5 linked regions of the Nothobranchius furzeri genome follow. The protein of the gene in region 5 interacts with the protein of the main gene of each other region in a biochemical or structural test. Links are inferred from orthologs where the notes say so. Each region holds a gene or a part of one and is shown on either strand. Other genes may lie near its edges. The genes, in order: dcun1d4, cand1, cdc34b, ube2m and cullin-1.

Region 1 (4,302 bases), on a different chromosome or scaffold from region 5:
CGATCACCACCAGCAGGCAAGGTGGGTTAAGTGTCTTGCCCAAGGAGACAACAGCAGCATTCTCTGTCCGGAGCCGGGATCGAATCTGCAGCCTTCCGATTATGTTTATGTTTATGTATTTAGCAGACGCTTTTGTCCAAAGCGACATACAAGTGATAATCGGCATTTTGCCCTTGAGGCTAACAATAACAATAACAACAACAACATTAACATCAGTCATGGAGAGGAGGGAACAAGTAGTGGACAGTAGAGAGGGGGGACGGGTGCAGGCAAGGTGCTAGTTAAGAAGATGCTCTCTGAAGAGCAGGGTCTTCAGGAGTTTACTGGACAACCCGCTCTACCTGATGAGCTACTGCTGCACCAAGCTTAGACATCTCATGGGGCTTAAAGGAGATGTACAGTTGGATGTCATCTGTGTAAAGATGGTAGGAGATTCCTTTGAAGAAGCTCAGTATGTGCTGAAGAGGAAGCAGACAGAGGAGGAACAGTAGGGGCCCCAGCACAGAACCTTGTGGTACACCGTGTGTGGAGAAGGTGGTGGAGGACCTAAACTTGGAGATAGCCACAAAGAAGGAATAGACAAATATGAGGAGAACCACTCCAGAGCACATCCTGATAGACCAGTCTCTCAGCCTATTCAGTACCTGGTGATGGTCAACAGTGTCAAAGACTGGAGTCAGGCCCAGCAGGTCATGTCTATTTGCTTTAATTAAATCCAGGTGGTGACTTTTCTTTGAACAGGCAGTGTGTTACTCAGCATAAATTACAAACAAGTCACTTTAATAGCAAGATGTTAATTAAAAGACAAAACAAAATAGAAACACTAGTAATTTTAGAGAAACTACTTTTTGGTTGAGAAAGCTGCTCATATTTTCTCTGTATTAGACCAGTTTTTATGATCTTCCATGTGGTAATAAAACATATCAGCTGCTAATAACAACAATACAATCGCCTTGAACAAACAGTGACTACCTAACCCATCTTACCATGAAGATCCAAAGGTGAACACACCATTAACGTACAGGTGTTGGGCTTGATCACGCTGAAAACAGATTAAAACTCATTTCTTCTCAGCCTTTGTGCTTGCCGACATAGGCCAAAAAAATTGTTGATTTAAATATTTCAAAATGTCATATTATCTGTTTTAGTGATCCAATATAATTTATTTGCATGTGTGCTCACTTTGTTTGAATAAGGAAAGTAAGTGTGAACCTAGTGGGAAAACAAAACAAAACTACGAATTACTAATTATTTTACTAACCATAACACTTATCAACCTAACCCATATAAAACAGTGAACACCTGAACGACCAATCAGGTCTCATCGTGGGCCGGCTTTAGGCTTGCACGAGGAAATTCTAGTGATTGACGTACACGTAGCACGGCCCATTGGAGGAGCTCTGACCAATCCGATTAGTAAATAGGCGTTCTCCTGTCTGTTTTTCCCGCCCCTTCCAGAAAGGACATATTTATTAGCCAATAGAAAGCGAGCAAGGGCAGAGACTTCAAGCCGAATTTCAGTTACTGCGTACGGGCGTCCTTTACGCTAACAAGGCCCGCCTATTGGCCGGTCTACGGACTTCCCACAGACAGTTGTATGTTTCATAAAAATGCACTCTGATGCGGCAAGTAAGTGAGAACGTTTCTGCATCAAATTGCGACCTTTCTCGTTGTTGGTGCGCGTATCAGACAGAAAAAACGGACGCGTTGTGTTTCTACATCCGCCTTTGTCCCGTGTGTCTGTCAGGTTTCATGGGAACGCATGAATCCTGTCTTATTTGCTAGTCTCTTTGTATTTGCCAGTGCTGTCTGGGTCGACAACAAAGGAAGGATGGCTACAGTAATTATAGCTATTTTCAGTTGTAAACGTTTGCTGAGACACGATAAGTTTATTTCTGGTAATTATTTTCGGGTTGTGCTGCTGTTTTAGGTTAAATTCCACCGACGCTGCTTAAGTTCAGAGGATTTTCGATTGCAGTCGGTGCGTTGTGGCGTTCCTATTCCTCGTTACTCGTGGCGCACATAATATTTAAACTCAAACTTGTAATTCGGCGTGATTCGGCCAATTTTCGGGTCAGCTGCGGACTGTAAGAGAGAAGGAAAATTGTGACGCAGTTGTGTAAAACATCTTTCGTTGCTTGCTGCAACAGTGCTAGCAATTTTTTCATAGCCCACGTTAGCTTCTGTAAAACGTCACCACAGTGCTTTCCTGTCAGTGACCATGTCGCATTACATTTATTAATCAATGTAAAATGTATTCAGTCGGAAAAGGTACATGTTGGGGGGAGATGAGTCTGAAAGAAAGAGTTGTTTTGTAGAGACGTGGGTATTGTAGTTTATTAACCCAAGCAAAGCTTAGCTTCTAACGACCACTATAAAGGAAAAGAACTACAACATCCAGACGCCCGACTCTCTGGATACTTTGTAAACTCTGCAAGTTGCTCGTCTACTGCTATTTTTGGTATGCAGCTAGTGCTATCCGTTCGTTTATCTCTGCCGTTTCTCTGAGTTTTGCCTCTAGTGATAATTCTGTACTAAACAGCAACACACACCCGGCTTTTACTCACAAGGTAGCCGCCATAATCGAATATATTAGCGTTTTAGTCCTGTCCTTTCAGTAGCACAGGGAGTCAATCGTGAGGGTCTTTTTCTGCCATTTTAAAGCCCTAAACACATCATATGTGTGGGTTAAATGGTAATGTTGTGTTCATAGGCAACGTAGGATTCAAGTCTCCATTATTAGCGTTGTTGACGTCACCTCTTCATAACCTTACATGATTAGGTCGAGTATTAAGTTATAAATGAAGCCTTATTTGGATTTTTCTAAAATGTCATTTAAATGTTTTTGTGGATAGATTTTCAGCTGAATTCTCATTTGACTACACTGGCCAGCATCCACAAGATTCACCACACCTTACACAGGCTGGTAACTATCTAACAGAAGGCTGATTATTTGTGTGAAGTGAATGTTTCTTTTTTTATTCACATGCTTTTATTTGTTAGAATCTGGCTGAAGACGTTGGACAGGATAGCCACCCGTCAGGTAAAATCCTTACGTGTGTTTTCTGTTCTTCATGCAGTTTGCACGCTAGTTCTGCTGATACTGATCTGCTGTGAATTATTTTGACAGCTTGCTACTCAAGAGCCATGCCACCTAGGAAAAAGAGGAGACCTTCTGCTGGAGATGACATGTCAGCCAAGAAAAGTCGCCAAGAGAGGTGACAGGAGGGTTTTCAGGAAACTTGATTGTTGTGGCTTATTAAAATAAACATGGACACAAATATGCTTCTGTAGTTTTGCTGCTTAGCTCACGGCTGACATCGTCTCATTATCTACAGTGTTTTCAGAAAACATGAAACATCGCAAATCCGGGAGGAGGAGACGTTTTCTAGTAAAAGATGTTTGGAGTGGTTTTATGAATATGCAGGTGAGCAGTCATCACACATTTTGGTTTAGTCACTGATCTTTGTGTTTGTAGCTGAGTTAATGCTGTGTGATGCTGCTCGGCTCACCTAGGTTGTGACGATGTGGTGGGTCCAGAGGGCATAGAGAAGTTCTGTGAGGACATCGGAGTGGAGCCTGAAAACGTGAGCAGATTTTATTTAGACTTGTTCACTACTGGACAAGGTTTTGGTTTGGTTCCATTTGCATGATCTTAGTTTATTCTATTTCCTCCTTTGGCTGCCCATCACACTGTCTCAGTGACACTGAAACAGGAATTTTAGTCATAGCAACATACGGTCAGCATTTGCATACACATTAATGCTTTTACAATCTGAAATCTGTTGACATAACTCAACAAATTTGCATCCCTAAAACACAAATATACACAGATCTGATGTGCAGCGCAATCTGTTTTCACGTCCTAAAAGCAGGTAAAGAGAATCCGGTTAACTTGGCAACAGCTGCTGTTCTATGGTCCCCGACTCGTGGTTGTCTCATCATAGCTACCTCAGTGGGTTCTAGCAGGTCTCACGAAACCCACTGCAGGTATTCAACACACCCTAAAGGTCAAAAGTTGCTCCATTACACATCCCTGGCTACTTATGGCCATTCTAAAATATCACCACACCACTAGTGCTTGCTTACAGAGAGACTTTCAGGTCATCTGGCCCTCTTGATTACTGTGCCCGTCCCAGGAACCATGTCTGGTCAAACCTTTTTGCTGAACCCATTTTTTGCCTTTATTTTTTATTTTTGAAAGATGTATTACTTGTTGATTATGTTGTTTCTTCTTGGGGCCTTTAAAGGAATATTTTGACCATTTTGAATGTGTTTCTATATATAAATAACAGAGATGGG
Region 2 (2,499 bases), on a different chromosome or scaffold from region 5:
GGACTTCACCTGAAACACAAGCCCAAAGGCGCTGTCAACGACTCCAAACTGGAAAAGCAACTCGGGGCTTAGATGTGAAGGCAAGTGTGGGGCTACCTCTTCACTGGAGGAGGAGAAAGCATCCAGGATGACGGTCTTGAGCTCAGGCTGGCTGCTCAGGTCCACGTAGTGTCCCACCTCGCCCAGTGAGAGGAGAGCGAGAAGTCTGATGGAGTCTGTGGAGCGGCTGTTCTTCACATCCTGTCAAGAAGAGGAAACTATTTTATATTTCATCCTTGATGCCGTCGTTCTTTAGAGCTCTGGTCTTTAGTGGTTTGGGATCAGGTGACTCACCTGGATGAACTGTCCCACCACAGCAGGACCCTCGGTGGGACAGGCTCTGGTCAGAGCTGCGACACATTTAGCAATGGAGCAGTAAGCCTGTTTGTGAGGCAGAGCGGCGCTTTGGGAGTAAACCGGGCCCGTCAGCATCCTCAGCAGGTCCATGTAGCCCAAACCGGGAGTGTCTGTAGCCACCAGAGCCTGAACAGGAGGAGGCAACACCAGATCAGCCAGCGTGCTGTCATCGTTTTACACAACCACCAGATTTGTTGTCGTTTCAGAAAAAAAGACCGACTGAACCCAAAAGCAGAAAACAATGGGCTGCCCAGGATGTACGGTGAGCAGAGAGCTGCTGGGTTTTATTCGTCTTCAGTTCTGTATCATCTGCTTAGAACAAAAAGGACCAGGATCTCATCCCTGTGGTACACCATCACCCAGTTTTGATTAAGGTCCATGAAAGTGGTGAATTAAATTCAGGGTTAAATGTAGTTTTAGGTCAGGTTCAGTTCCTGACAAAACTGGTTCTAAAGGCTGTAAAGGTTCTGGGTCTAGGCCAGCAGAACACCAAACCCAGTAGGACCCAGTCCACTGGTGTTTCATTTCTTCAGTCACGCCAGGCTTAAAGCAAAGGTGGAACGTCACGTTTGGGCCCCACATGAACGGTTAGGGCGCTGCAACTCCTCACCTTAGAGTTCCACCTTCACAGAAACTCAAATATTTACTGAACTCCGTATTCTGGTGCTGTTCATCTATCACACAGTTTACCTGAAACACGATAAAACTGAACTATCAGGGTGTCTCCACCCACAGTTACAGGTAAACACACGGCAAGTCCGCCACGGGTCGTTACTCCCGTCAGTGAATTACGTCGGGACCTGAGCCGATATTGGATCAGATCAGCTCCATCACAGGTGTTTGGACCCCCGAACTGAGTCCAGTCCGAGTGTGGTGGGGCGGTACCTGGTAGAACTCCAGCATGGCGGCGAGCGCTCCTCCCTGCAGCAGCGGGGATCGAACCAGCGCGATGAGCTGCTGAAGGATGTTCCCTCCGCTCAGCTGGCCCAGCGAGGACGGGTGCGTCACCGCCAGCGTGGACAGGAAGCACAGCGCCATCTGAGACACGTGCATGTCGCTCTCTGAGATCAGAGGCGGCAGCTCAGCCAGGACGGCGTCCACCATGACAGGCGTCACTGCAGAGCTGAGGACCACAGATGAAGAGTGAGAGGGCAGAGCTGCCAGGTGGGCGGGGCTAACCGGTGTGATGGTTACCTGTAGTTTCTCAGCAGGATATCCAGAGCCGCCAGCGTGCAGAGCTTCAGAGCTCGTTGGTTCTTTCTGAGAAAGGAGGCGAGGATGGGAACGGCGTCGGGAAGAACTGGCCTGAGATCGATTTTTAACGGAGAGCCGGCGATCAGCGTCAGCGCTGCAAAGATCCAGACTGAACTTCATCACCAGCTCATCACAGTCTTACTCAAGAGGACAATGTGGGGGGCGGGGCTTACCTTTTACCGTAGTCAGCCGTGTGATCTCATTTTTGAGGCGTTCCAAAAAGATCAGCAGCGTTCCTGGAAGCTCGTTGGGCAGGCGGTCGCCTACATAACAAAATCCATCGGAAAGTTCAAACCCAACTCGAGTCTGACGGCAGGGGACATCACATCTAGGACATGTAGGTGGTGGTTACCTAGGTTGCAGATTATCTGTCCCATACAGGAAATTGCTCGCTCTTTGACCTCCTGGTCGATGTCGGCGGCCTTCAGGCGTCTGATCGTGCAGGTGAAGAGGTCATTGATGTAAGGGGAGGGGTCAAAGCTGTCTGAGCCCTCCGACTGGTTATCCAGAGGTCGGATCACCTGGAAGAGACCCGACAAACAAATAAGCATCAGCTGACAACCAGAGTGAGGGTTGCAGGTTCGACTCCCACCTTGACAAGCTGCTGGGTAACAAGCAGAGCCTCTGAGGTGATCTTGTAGAAGGGGTCTCCCATGCACGCCACCACGGGCGGGACAAGGGCGGGGACGTGGGCGTGGAAGGCATGGGCGGGGTGTGTGACCATGATGACGTGGAGGCAGGACAAGGCGTCGATTTTCAGGTTGGAGCTGCTGGACTTATCGTTCAGAGAGAAGATGATGCCTGAAACCAAACGTGATCCTTGATGAGGTCATCGACGACAACCCAGTA
Region 3 (4,024 bases), on a different chromosome or scaffold from region 5:
CTGGAGATCGCGACCTGTTTACTCTGGACTTGTTTCGGTGATCTCTGCCCCGACTTATGGACCTGGAACGAGACCTACGCCGTGTTTTCGAACCCATCACGAACTTTCTTCTTTTCGGGGCCCTAAATGCAGTCTGTCGCGTAAATAGGAGGCATTGACGAAACACTGTTGATTATAATAACGTTTACAATCGCACTAATAAAAACATATGTCTATGTTTAATGTTCGCATACTCTAACGTGTGCTATGACAGAAAAAATTACGTGTCAGATTTCTTTTATAAAAAATCCAAATGTATTTAGTAAGGCAAAGAAAAGCTAGCCTAAATGGGCTTTCCTGAGCACTGGCGCAGATTAAAACGTCACAGCCACTTAATAAACTACAAATTAGCCACAAATGAACGCAGGATTGTTTTTCTTACAATTTAGTTATGTCGGTGATAAAATACTATTATTGATGTCATAGATATTTCGTCCATAGTAACCGCTACCGTATTTAAACAGTTTAACAGGAAAATGCAAGCACAAACAAACTTATTTTTCTTTTTGGGCATTTAAAATAAAAATAAAAACATCATAAATAAAAAGAACAGGAATTATATTATACCAGGGTTTTCAGTTATTTTGGTTTCACGTTTTTTTAATCTAACAAACGCGGAATGAAAGACTACCAGTCCCAGCCAACAACAGGGCGCCATTACCTGTTTTTACCAGGGGACTCTTTCAGCAACACATTTCCTTTCGCAGCTTTCTATGAGGGCTAAACAATTATGGTTACTGGAGGTATAGTTTGGCGTAGTGTCACATGACTTTTTGCGTTTGTCTTTTCAAATTGCCATTTTATGTAGTTATTTTGTGTTTTTGCGGTAATTACGTCGCTCCAGCTGGTCAATTAGACGGAGCTTGTTAGCTTTCCTTAGCTAACAGTAGATTTAAGGCTTATATCAGCTGCTGCTCTGCCAGGTAAATCAGCCAAAGCTGTTGAGCCTCTCAGACACAATGTGTTTCTCGTTTATAACATTACTGAGTTTTGACATTAATAACGTTTAATTTGGGAACAGACCAACCGCAGTCTTTGTTTTGCTTTTACGCGCGGTCGGCCTGTTTTCTTTGCCTCCGAACATCGAAAAAGGAGAAGTTGTGCTGTTTGCTGGCTTGGCTAGCTTAGCCGTGTAAACAAAAGCTGTCGCCTCCAGATAATCCTGAAAGCTTCATAAATCATTATGGCGCAACACGACCCTTCTCATGTAGCTAGTTCGCAGAAAGCTCTCATGTTGGAAATGAAGAGCCTCCAGGAAGAGCCTGTGGAGGGATTTAAAATCACTCTGGTGGACGAGGCTGATTTATACAACTGGGAAGTCGCCATTTTTGGTCCACCAAACACTCATTATGAAGGGGGATATTTCAAGGTAAGGTTGTAATTAAAATCAGATGACATATAAGAAATGACCGTAGTTTAAAAAATAACAAGATGTCCCCATTTTCCCCCCTAGGCAAGGATCAAGTTTCCTACAGATTATCCTTACTCCCCTCCTGCTTTCCGCTTCCTAACCAAAATGTGGCATCCCAACATCTATGAGGTTAAATATTGACGTGTGTGTACTCATAACAGTGTATTTAATTTGAATGAATGCATCTGATGATGGAATGTATTTGTTTCCCCTCTTGTAGAATGGAGATGTGTGTATTTCTATACTGCACCCTCCAGTGGATGACCCGCAGAGCGGAGAGCTCCCATCAGAGAGATGGAATCCAACCCAGAATGTTCGGTTAGCATTTCTCTTTCTAATCATATTCTCTCTATACGTTTCTCCTTTCTGGTCTCCTTCCATCTTTGTCCACTTTGCAATCACTTCAATGGTTCACCCAGCGCAGACTCTTATCTTATGACATTCATTATCAGCAGCATCTTCTTCACCGGCTGCAGCAGCCAGCAGTAAAGCTAGATCTGCATCTTCCTCTTATTTACAAACAAAATTAAATTGATCTTTGGATAATATCATACTATGCAAACTAAGATTTTGTTGGTTTATTTCTATGAAAAACATACTTTGAGTACCTTAATTCATTGTGACTCACAATAAGTGTATCGCATGAGTTTGACAGCATTTTGCTGCAGAAGAGGGAGAAAATGCATCTTTATTTATTATAAACTTCCTTCTGAGGTTATTTGTCAGGCTCACATTATGCAATCTGTGCACAAAAAAATGTATCTTTGATCTTTTTCTGTAACTGAGAGCCAGATTTCTATTCAACAAGAAACTATCTATGTAAAAGCCACCACAACGATGTCACACTCACAAGTGATATTAAACCTGTGATCTGTAGTAGTCGAAATCACACAACTTCAGCAGTGTTACAAAGATGTAAGCTCTGGTGGTTTCGGTCACTTGATGCAGTGCAGCTCTTATGTTTTTGTTGTTGCAGGTGGTATACCGTTAACCTAACCTAATTTCCTCATTTGCATTTTTGCTGCAGACACATTAGATCTGTAGATCAGGAAGTCTGTCACAAAGGCTGTTCCTTTGGCCACAAACAGAAGCAGCTTCTTTCTGTTTCCCATAACGACTCACTAAAACCTTACTCACAATGCTACGTTTTATAAATGTAATGTAAAGGCTTGTCAGTGCGCATTGTGCGCTCTGCTGAGAAGGTGATTGGCTGCAGCCCTCCATCTCTCCAGGACCTGTACGTCTCCAGAACTCGGGGGCGTGCAGGCCGGATAACAGCTGACCCTTCGCACCCGGGTCACAGACTTTTTGAGCCGCTTCCCTCAGGCAGGAGGTTACGGTCCATCCGGACCAGAACCTCCTGCCATAAGAACAGCTTCTTTCCATCTGCCGTTAGACTTGTGAATAGATTATAAACACACAACCATGCTGGTCTTCTGTACTCGACACAACGTCACGTTATCGGCCATGTTACCATTACCTGCCATTTTAGCTGAAAGTTTTATTCTAGTTTTTTTAATTATTATATTTTATTCTATTTTATTCTATTTTTAATCTTATTATTCATGTTATATGTAGCACATTAGTGCCGAAGCAAGTTCCTAGTTTGTGAATTGTTTGTTCACTGAAAATGGCAATAAACCTATTCTGATTCTGATTCTGGTAGGGTGGTAGCACATGGGTCTGACAGGTTTTTTTAATACATGTTTTATCAATTAGCTTTAAGTTCCTAATGTAATATGTGCTTCATTGTTTATTCTAATAAAATAGTAGATGAAATAAGTAATTTAGGCTTGTGACATTAAAATATTTTTTATGTGTTTAAAACTTTTTAATTCACCTAAAGTCGTTTTCTTATGGTTCTATACTAAGTTGCCTTTGTTTTTTGCTTCTAGGACCATTTTGCTGAGCGTGATCTCGCTGCTAAATGAACCCAACACCTTCTCCCCTGCCAACGTGGACGCCTCTGTCATGTACCGGAAATGGAGAGACAGCAAAGGCAAGGACCGGGAATATGTAGAGATCATCAGGTAAACATTAGTGTAATGTTATTTAAGACAAACCTCAAATATTTCTAAAAGATTTTCAAAGCCACACCATCCACACAAAAGTAATTCAGTCTTCATAAAACAAATCCCTTCAGGAAACAGGTGCTGGCCACAAAGGCAGAAGCAGAGCGAGATGGCGTGAAGGTGCCCACCACGCTAGCTGAATACTGCGTTCGTACACGCGCCCCGCCGCCAGACGAAGGCTCTGACCTCTTCTATGACTATTACTATGAAGACGATGACGTGGAGGGGGGAGACGGCGACTGTTGCTATGACGAGGATGACTCGGGCAATGAGGAGTCGTGACATTCTTGTTGTCAGAAAACCCAACCTAGCTGACGAATGCTCATCCTTTAACTCTTCCTGGGTTGCCAGATATTCTTGGTTTGCAACCAAGAGAGATTGGAAGCTTCCTTCTAAATCAGTACAAGAGCTTTTTTCCTTCAGCCTCAGAGGTTAAAACTGATGCCTCGTTGCGAGAGGGTCAGACTGTGGTCACTTTTGCACCAGCACAGCCACCAATTTT
Region 4 (4,046 bases), on a different chromosome or scaffold from region 5:
TGACAACAAACCACAGACCTAATCTTTATCTCACACACACACACACGCACACACACACACACACACACACACACACACACACACACACACACACACACACACACACACACACCTCGTCTGGTGAGATGATGAGTCTGAAGTTGAGGAGGTCATCATCATCTGGAAAGCTGATCTCACACGTCTTTGGCAAATTCAACTCATTGATGTCTGAAACACAAACAGATCATTTTAATTATAATTAACTGGATCAGCACCAACAGAACACTTTGAACACAAAAACAGACCACATGCACGTGACTGGTTTGGACAGCCGTTTATTTAACATGATATCTTAAAAACCAGAGTTCCAACTTCAGAGACAACACAGGAATTACAGGGTGACCTAAACTTGTGTGTTTTTGGGCATTACCAAGTCAGACGTCTGAGAGGGCAGCTGAAGAACATGGCTGAACTCCAGAGACCTCTATGAACGTGTTGTGTAGAAATGACTGAGGTGTCAGTAAGATGATGTACAAAACAACTTTCGACTGATTAAACAAACAAGAATCTCTAGTTGATTTACATTCCAACCCTCACATATGGTCGTGGTAAAGAATGACAAAACAAGATCATAACAGGCTGCCAAAATGAAATTTACACAGTGAGGAGTTCAGACATTCAAGGAGGACTGAGTAGAACCGCTGCTTCTTCTCATCCAGAGATGCCAGCTGAGATAGCTCAGACTCGGGAATAGACATAACCATGTTGGACGATAGGCTGGCTCATTTAATACAAGGACTTTAGTTGAGTAGAATGTGGCAGCAGGAGGTTGACATCAGCAAATATCCAAACAATGCCTTGGGGTCCCATCAAAGGAGCTAATGATATAGGCTGGGATGGAGACAGTATGGGTAAATGCTTTAACTACTTCTATAGCCTGTTCCAATAAATAAATAAATAAATGCTCCACTTGCAAAAAGTGCCGCAAAGGGAGCATTTGATCATTCATAAGTGGTCAGCCTGTGGCCATAATGGGGTGCAATCATGTTTTTCACAAAAGATCACATGGTTGCTGTATAACAGGGGTGCTGGGTGATCTCTGTGTCATCATGGACATCCTTTTAACTTGGACATAACTTGTTTTTATCTCTTTTGAAGCCACAGTCCTTAAGTTTTTTTTGTGAGCCACCCCAAAAGGGGAACTGTCCTGTGATCAGATCTTCAATTCTAACAGCCAGGATCTTCTGGATATCTGCACCACGCCAGTTTGCCATCTCCGCTGACACTGTTTGCAAACACGACAGGGACTCCCCATGTTAACTTGCATTTGGAAAATTATTGCCAACCAGGGCTTAGTGGACATTTCATCCATGACCATGGCATCCCCCTCTGTTGCAAGAAGTCATGAACTTCATTCAAAAGTCCAATGTTGCAATAATAGTACAATCAGGTTTCACGGAACGAACTACGCAATATTCTCATCTCGTCAAGCCACCATGGTGCATTCCAAAGAACCACGTGGCGGCAGTATTACCCTGACGTGCTGCTCCAGTGTGTGTTTTGAACCCGGCTCATGCGTCTTTCTAAGCAACGCACTGTCCAGTAATATCACACCTTGGGTCTCTTCTTTGTTCTCCATTTTGCCTTTGCCATCTACTTTTAAACTCTTCAGGGACTTAGGGGTCTAGTTTCAAAAACTAGCCTTTCACAGTGTTTGTAAACAATGCCTCAGTTGCCATGCTACTGCATCATATAGGTGCCTGAAACCCTGAGGCCAGAACAGCACCCTCATAGGCGTGTATTTGAGTGCGTTATCAAAAGTGTAAGCAGTTTAACAGTCATAATGGACAGATGTTAACCCTACCTGCCAGTTTGGTGAGATGATTTCTTGTTGAGGAACCATTTCAATTTCTCACCACCTGACAGGACCAACTAGGTGTCTAACACCTGGGGGACAGGGGCACCTGCGGGTGTTTGACATGACGAGCTCAGTGTGAGCTGGTTTAAGGACAGGAACCAGGCAGGGGGGTGTTTCAGCTCCACTTTAAATGAACGACATACACTTTGACCTGGGCTATCTGACCACCAGTCAGTCACACCTGAAGTTTGTGACAGAGGGCTGACACAGCAAGTTAGCTTGTCCAAAGCTCCCACCAACGCGTAAAACCCGACTAGAAAACAGTGTTTGTGTGGGCTGTTAATGAGGTATGCGTAATAAACATGTGTCTTATATCCTAACGATTGTGTTCTGATAAGGTGGCCCCAAATCGTTACGGAGTTGGAGCGTCTCTGTTTTGTTTTCAAATACAGCAGCAGCAGCTAGCCGTTGTTAGCTTCTGAATAGCCTGCTACCAGTTAGCTGGCCTGAGTTCACGGCTACCGGGCACTAAACGGCTGTGTCCCCCGGTAGTTTGCCAGTAACCGGACAGTCGGGAAGCAGGAAAGACTGGCAGGGGTGCTGAGAGGGTGGTGAGGTGGGAAACCAGCCTACCTTTCTGTATTCGAAGCTGGGCCGCGCTGGCTTTTTTGCCCCCGGCTCCGGCTCTGTTTCCTCCAGCAGATTCCTCGTCTTTCTTCTGCTGCTTCAGGGAGAACAGCTTAATCATCTTCACTTGTTCGATAATCGGAGGCCTAAACTCTTGAGTCCCTTTAGTGTGCGAACTCCCCGTGTGTCCTGAGTGTTAACAGAGCCAAATGAGCCCGAACTGCACCGTAATGTGGATGGAGCCGGTGCGTCTCAACTAATCACACCGAGCTAACCTAGCTGTTAGCCCGCAGGAGAGGCCGGGTGGGGAGGAGGGTGCAGACGTCGCATGGATTGGTACGTCACTAATTGCGCCATATTGGAGAGGTAAACTGGTAAGGACTGTCACGTGACTAATAGGCAAGCCTGAGGCCAACCTTGATAGCAGAAGGGTCATAGTTAGAAAAGCCATAGTTATTATTGTTTTTAATATAATTTCGTTATTTAATATCTATAATTATTGCACACTTTAATTGAATTTATATTCAGGATCTATTTTTTTAACAAAATACATTAAGAAAAAACTACATATGCCAGTAGACTAGCCGTGATGTCATCACGCAAAAGGCGGGGCCAAGGTATATTGCCTGCCCATATTTTATTCACTAGGTTTATTTTATTTTATTCCTTACAGACCGGTGTAAAGATGCACACCGTAAGGTCACCTGCGTGATATGATGAATGCGCTGGTGAAAGACATGTCATGGTTGAGTGGCATTAATGATAATCCAGATCACGCACATCACGCAAACAACCGCTGCACAATAGACACGAGAACAAAAGCCGCGCGCTGCGTTTTGCTCATATTCATGTTAATGCGCGGGGACTAGTTCTTGCGGAGGGTTACACGTGCGCGTAGATGTTAGTGAGAACGAACCCTTTGCGTGTTGTTGTGTGCAGTTGTGTGTGTGTTTTTGTATGTGTTTGTGTTTTTGAAGCCTCGCGGGAGGAAGAGGAGCAGAACGTGCTGAGGGGAGAGTGAGGCAGTCTCACACTGCAGACAGAGGGACAGAGAGGGGAGTGAATGGGCACGACTCAGTCAGCATCACTGTGCCCTTCACTGTATCCTAATCGATCGGTTCGGCTATCGAGACATTTCGACCCTGCACGGGTCCGTTAAGGCTGGCCCGGCCTGGGAGCTCGCCGGAGCAATGGGACGCGAATGAAGCAGCCCGAAGCGAACAGCAGCAGCCCGGCGGAGGAACAAACAAGGAAGCGCTTAGCTGAAGCTAACGGCTCGCTAATATTGATTCTGATGAGTGAACGAGGACCATGCGAGCTGAAAGGAAGAGGTGAGAGGGCGCTGTGTGTGTGCGTGCGTGCGTGTGCGTGCGTTTTCAGCTCAGTCAGTGTAATTCCTCTCCACCTGCCTAATTTACTGTTCATTATCACTGGATACTAAAAGAGGAAGCAACCGCAGGGGGCGGACAGTCTACTAGCCTGCTAACACATTAGCACGGTTGTCATTAGCTTTTCCGCCAGGTGTGGGGGCGACGGGAGGGATGTTATGTCATTACAGGTGCGTGATTGGTTAATTATCACA
Region 5 (4,068 bases):
TAGGAATCTTAGTTACTGAAATATTACATTTTAGCTCCATCTCTATGAAACTGAGTAGGAGCCATTTTCGTGTTTGATGATCGGTTTGAATCAGGTTAGAATCCGCTGTTCTGATGCAGTTCCCTGATCCACCAGCAGATGGCCCTCTGCTGGTGGAATAGAGAAACCACTGGTGGAGAACATTTGGTTCTGTGTGTGCGCGCGTGATCATTCTGATTATTTTAATGTTACTGCTCGGGTATTTTGTCTCGCGTATATAAAAACAAGTTAAAATAAACTGATGAAATGTCAGAGTCGTGCTTCTCTGGCATAAATAATTCAAATATCGCCTCAAAGGACTGAACTGCGCATGCCCCACAGGTATCACCCGCAACCATAATTGTAGTTTTCAACAGTAGACCTTTCTGCGGGATGCAGATGATGCATTCAGTGAAAGATTTTGAGCTGCGAAATCATAAAGATGCGCTTGCCCGCTGCGTTGGCCTGTTTGAATTCATTAAAATGTTTAAAAAGAAGAAATTTAACCCGTTTTAATTCGTAAAATCAAATTGTTCTCCAAATTGGGCAATCTGTTGTCTCTAACCTACAAAATGAATGGGTTCCTTTTATTTTGAAAGACAACTAAAATTGATGTTTTTTGGTGGTGGTTTGTGTGTGTGTGTGTGTGTGTGTGTGTGTGTGTGTGTGTGTGTGTATATACTTGTCTTTATAGGTTTAAGTGGACAAATTTGAACTATAACCTGTACTGTGTAGACATTTTTACATTGTGGGGATTTTTTGCTGGTCCACACAATGTGGAGCACCCTAAAACTTGTTTTTAGAGGTATGGCATTAGTTAGGGATAGGGTATGGGTAGGCATAGTGGAGTAACTAACATGGAGCAGGGTGTCAATGAAGGGCCACACAAACATAAAAACAAGCGTGTGTGCGTGCGCGTGCGTGCGTGAGTGTGTTTGTAAAACATCAAACCAGTAGAGCTCGCCTTTATTTGTCACTTGATTATTTTCTTGTGCAATTAATAATATTAATAAAACATTATTAAATAGGTTTCGGTTTCTTTCTTTTTCAGAGTAATTCAGCAAGTAAAGTAAAATATAGATATTAAGAAAGTAAAATAAGATATAGAATAATAGTGTTAATGAAAGAGAATGTTGACACAATTATTTTGGGCATACTGTAATGTGTCATTCTAAGCGTATTCGTGAGATTTCATCACGCAAGCTGATTTTCCGACGGACCCTGAACGCATCCTTGTTCTGATCTTTGTGAGGAGCAGCGAAACGATCGCAGTTAGCCACGGCCAGCAGGAGCTCCGTTCGGCGGAACACAGCGGAGGATACCGAGCCTGGACGCGATTAAAACACCTTTCCAGCGATTACACGATCCCCACAACGAACTAAGAATGGTAAGAAGACGTTTAAGGGCTGCGATTGTTCGCTGGGTGGATCTTTTGTACGGAGCTTAGCTGGAGGTCTAGCTGGCTAATGCTAAACGGCTAGCGAACTGTTTTCCTGACTCATTATCGAACAGAAGCCATTTTACAGCAGGCAGCTAGAGAGTCCTGGGCGCTGCTGTTGGCTCGGCGGCGACGGTGCCGGTCTTTAATAATGCTCCCGGGTACTAACGCTTTACCTTAACCAGTTTTGGGACGGAAACAAACGCTGTAGTTGGATTAAAAGCTCGTCCACCCAACGGCCAGGCAGCTGTGCTAGGTGGCTATCTGAAAAAGCTAAGACTTCGCAGTTGCGTAGCAGCGTCGAACGCCAGCCTGGTGAGATGAAATCCCAACAATAGTCTCATAAAACCTAAAACTTAATGTTGGTTTGAGCTTCATGTGACAAAAGAGTGTCAGGGAAGTAGATTTAATCCGAAGAGAAGCCCTGGCCCTCTGGCTACAAGAGACTGGATGTTTCTGGAGAACCTGGAAAATCTTAAATCCCACATTTTCTATCCCGGAGAGCAGAGGAGGCTTGGAATGATGATTTGGTTTATTATTTTTGTTCCACAAATGATCGCTGCTCTTACACGTTACACCAAAAAATACAACCTAGAGATCAATCTGACTCGAACACAATCTTTCCAATAGTTCTTAATAATCTGGTGGATTTTTCTGTGTAGTCTATAAACGAAGAACTATCCATGGGTTATATTTGTTTTTATTTAAATGTTGTGGAGTTTCTGATGAAGAGTCAGCGATCACACAAGATGCGTCAAAATACAAATAAACAAAACAAGGAAATGGCTTTAAAATAAGTGGTTATCAGTATTTGTGATTGGTTCGTTTTTCCTTCAAAGTAAAAGCTTGGTTTTCTGTCACCTTTCATATCTGTTTAAAATGAGAAAAAATCAGAATTTATTTATTTGTTAAGGTTTGTTAAGTGATTAGATGTAACCAGTAACAGCAAGACAACCAAGGCACAGATTAAACCACCACACCTGTGTTTTTGAGAGATTATTTCATCGGAATAATCCAGAACTTGTCTTTGATGTTCAGCCGCCACAATAAGAAATTTTTATTTATTTCTCTTAGATTTAAAACTGCAGTTTAAACTAGTTTCCCTAATCCCACTGTTCCCAGCAGGAATTCTGTGCCAGGAACCCCTGGTTAGTTTTGTTGACAGCAGGGACTTTGGATAAAAACACCTTCTGTACTGACGCCACAGCTTTCATACTAAAGTGGACTAAACTTTACTTATACAGAAGAACAACCTTTATTCATAAAGATCCGCCCACTTTAATAATGATGATGATAGCTGATAAACATTTAATAAATAGGAGGTGAGGCATAGATTAACTTTTATTCTCTAAGGAGCTTTAATCCTTGTTTTTATTTAATTTAATGATCATTTAAGGTTTTACATTCAGTCCAGTTTGGTTCCGGATCTGGTCTCAGATGGTTCCTACAGACACACAAGCTGGTTGAGGTTCTTCTAATCCCAGGATTATAATCTGTGTTAATGAAAAACTGGTAAACACTTTAAACTGAGTTCCTGGAGAGAACATTAGGTCTTCTGCAGAGACCTGGATTGGGGCAGATCTGGACCAGGGTCTGGGACGGACTACTATGTGTGTGTGAGCTTTAATCTCACTCAATGCACCAGAGAGGAGAGAATCAGATCAGATCCGTTCGGACCAGAACCTCTGGCCATAAGAACAGCTTCTTCCCGTCTGCTGTTGGACTCGTGAACGACAATCCTAGGGTTACCCACTCCCGTGGTGTGGTTCCAGTCACCTGACATGATGTTGTTTGTACCTGAGCTGATCTGCTCTGATTAGTACCTACACAGTAGTAGGGCTGTCACGGTAACCGCAAAAATGAAATATCGCGATATGAAGAAGCCCACCGCGCTGCATCATGGGCCACCGCGATTACTGAACTTGGTTCAACTCAATGATGCATGTTGAGAAGGATGGCTGCACTGGTATCAAAGCAAAACGTTACTTCGCTCCTTTGGGAGCACTTTGGTTTTCAGTACGTCAGCTGCTGCGCAGCCAGAGTCCTTGGCCGAGACAGAGCTGCCACCAGCGGCAAAAATAAATAAATAAATAAACTAGGGCTGCAACAAACGATTATTTGGATAATCGATTAATCGGATGGGGTCTCGACACGATTAATCGGATTACATGGGGAAATTTTTAAAAACTGCTAGGGAAACGTTATTTCTCTCCTTCCTTCACTTTATTTAACACAACATTATTAGAAAACAGTTCAATAGCAGAAAAATAACATGCCATCACCTAAATTGTCTTATAAGGTGTATAGACAGAGACCCTAAGCTACATCTATCTGTGACCTAAAATGCTTGGTCCAAGTTAAACAGCTTAAGGGCAATTCTCATCTGTTTTGTTTGATCTCATCTGTTGACATTTATTTTAAATGTAATTAAACATAGGCTGTGAATTTATCAAAATTGATCACTATTTCCAAAAATGACTGAAAAAATACCAAATAAAACAAAAGTAAATGAATGCCATCCTACTTGTGATGATGCCCTGGGCAACTGCCATAAAGTCACATCAAGAAATGCTGCTGATCATTCCAATGATCCCAAATAGACTCACATTAGG

What was found.
Region 1: the proteins of cullin-1 (region 5) and dcun1d4 are reported together in a solved structure, tested with the Homo sapiens proteins (2 studies listed by BioGRID, with this or other methods). The link is inferred for Nothobranchius furzeri from reciprocal best matches to the Homo sapiens genes CUL1 and DCUN1D4.
Region 2: the proteins of cullin-1 (region 5) and cand1 form a complex in vitro, tested with the Homo sapiens proteins (6 studies listed by BioGRID and IntAct). The link is inferred for Nothobranchius furzeri from reciprocal best matches to the Homo sapiens genes CUL1 and CAND1.
Region 3: the proteins of cullin-1 (region 5) and cdc34b form a complex in vitro, tested with the Homo sapiens proteins (3 studies listed by BioGRID). The link is inferred for Nothobranchius furzeri from reciprocal best matches to the Homo sapiens genes CUL1 and CDC34.
Region 4: of the proteins of cullin-1 (region 5) and ube2m, one has a biochemical effect on the other in vitro, tested with the Homo sapiens proteins (7 studies listed by BioGRID). The link is inferred for Nothobranchius furzeri from reciprocal best matches to the Homo sapiens genes CUL1 and UBE2M.

Annotation. Positions count from the first base shown.
Region 1 is NC_091748.1:39,454,342-39,458,643, forward strand, and holds the start of dcun1d4 (DCN1-like protein 4), read left to right. Parts: upstream 1-1,494; 5' UTR 1,495-1,610; coding exon 1,611-1,629; intron 1,630-2,551; exon of another isoform or gene 2,552-2,570; intron 2,571-2,855; coding exon 2,856-2,926; intron 2,927-3,003; coding exon 3,004-3,043; intron 3,044-3,130; coding exon 3,131-3,218; intron 3,219-3,338; coding exon 3,339-3,427; intron 3,428-3,516; coding exon 3,517-3,587; intron 3,588-4,302. UniProt on the Homo sapiens protein: Contributes to the neddylation of all cullins by transferring NEDD8 from N-terminally acetylated NEDD8-conjugating E2s enzyme to different cullin C-terminal domain-RBX complexes which are necessary for the activation of cullin-RING E3 ubiquitin ligases (CRLs).
Region 2 is NC_091741.1:34,353,750-34,356,248, reverse strand, and holds part of cand1 (cullin-associated NEDD8-dissociated protein 1), read right to left. Parts: intron 2,452-2,499; coding exon 2,243-2,451; intron 2,172-2,242; coding exon 2,003-2,171; intron 1,914-2,002; coding exon 1,824-1,913; intron 1,745-1,823; coding exon 1,591-1,744; intron 1,520-1,590; coding exon 1,282-1,519; intron 523-1,281; coding exon 334-522; intron 241-333; coding exon 97-240; intron 10-96; coding exon 1-9. UniProt on the Homo sapiens protein: Key assembly factor of SCF (SKP1-CUL1-F-box protein) E3 ubiquitin ligase complexes that promotes the exchange of the substrate-recognition F-box subunit in SCF complexes, thereby playing a key role in the cellular repertoire of SCF complexes.
Region 3 is NC_091751.1:57,908,615-57,912,638, forward strand, and holds the start of cdc34b (cell division cycle 34 homolog (S. cerevisiae) b), read left to right. Parts: upstream 1-1,222; coding exon 1,223-1,408; intron 1,409-1,492; coding exon 1,493-1,579; intron 1,580-1,670; coding exon 1,671-1,768; intron 1,769-3,345; coding exon 3,346-3,480; intron 3,481-3,593; coding exon 3,594-3,804; 3' UTR 3,805-4,024. Other genes in the region: splicing factor Cactin, read right to left, coding at 1-97. UniProt on the Homo sapiens protein: E2 ubiquitin-conjugating enzyme that accepts ubiquitin from an E1 ubiquitin-activating protein, and catalyzes its covalent attachment to other proteins by an E3 ubiquitin-protein ligase complex. In vitro catalyzes 'Lys-48'-linked polyubiquitination.
Region 4 is NC_091745.1:29,824,509-29,828,554, reverse strand, and holds the start of ube2m (NEDD8-conjugating enzyme Ubc12), read right to left. Parts: upstream 2,801-4,046; 5' UTR 2,586-2,800; coding exon 2,471-2,585; intron 208-2,470; coding exon 113-207; intron 1-112.
Region 5 is NC_091747.1:63,530,910-63,534,977, forward strand, and holds the start of cullin-1, read left to right. Parts: upstream 1-1,266; 5' UTR 1,267-1,405; intron 1,406-4,068. UniProt on the Homo sapiens protein: Core component of multiple cullin-RING-based SCF (SKP1-CUL1-F-box protein) E3 ubiquitin-protein ligase complexes, which mediate the ubiquitination of proteins involved in cell cycle progression, signal transduction and transcription.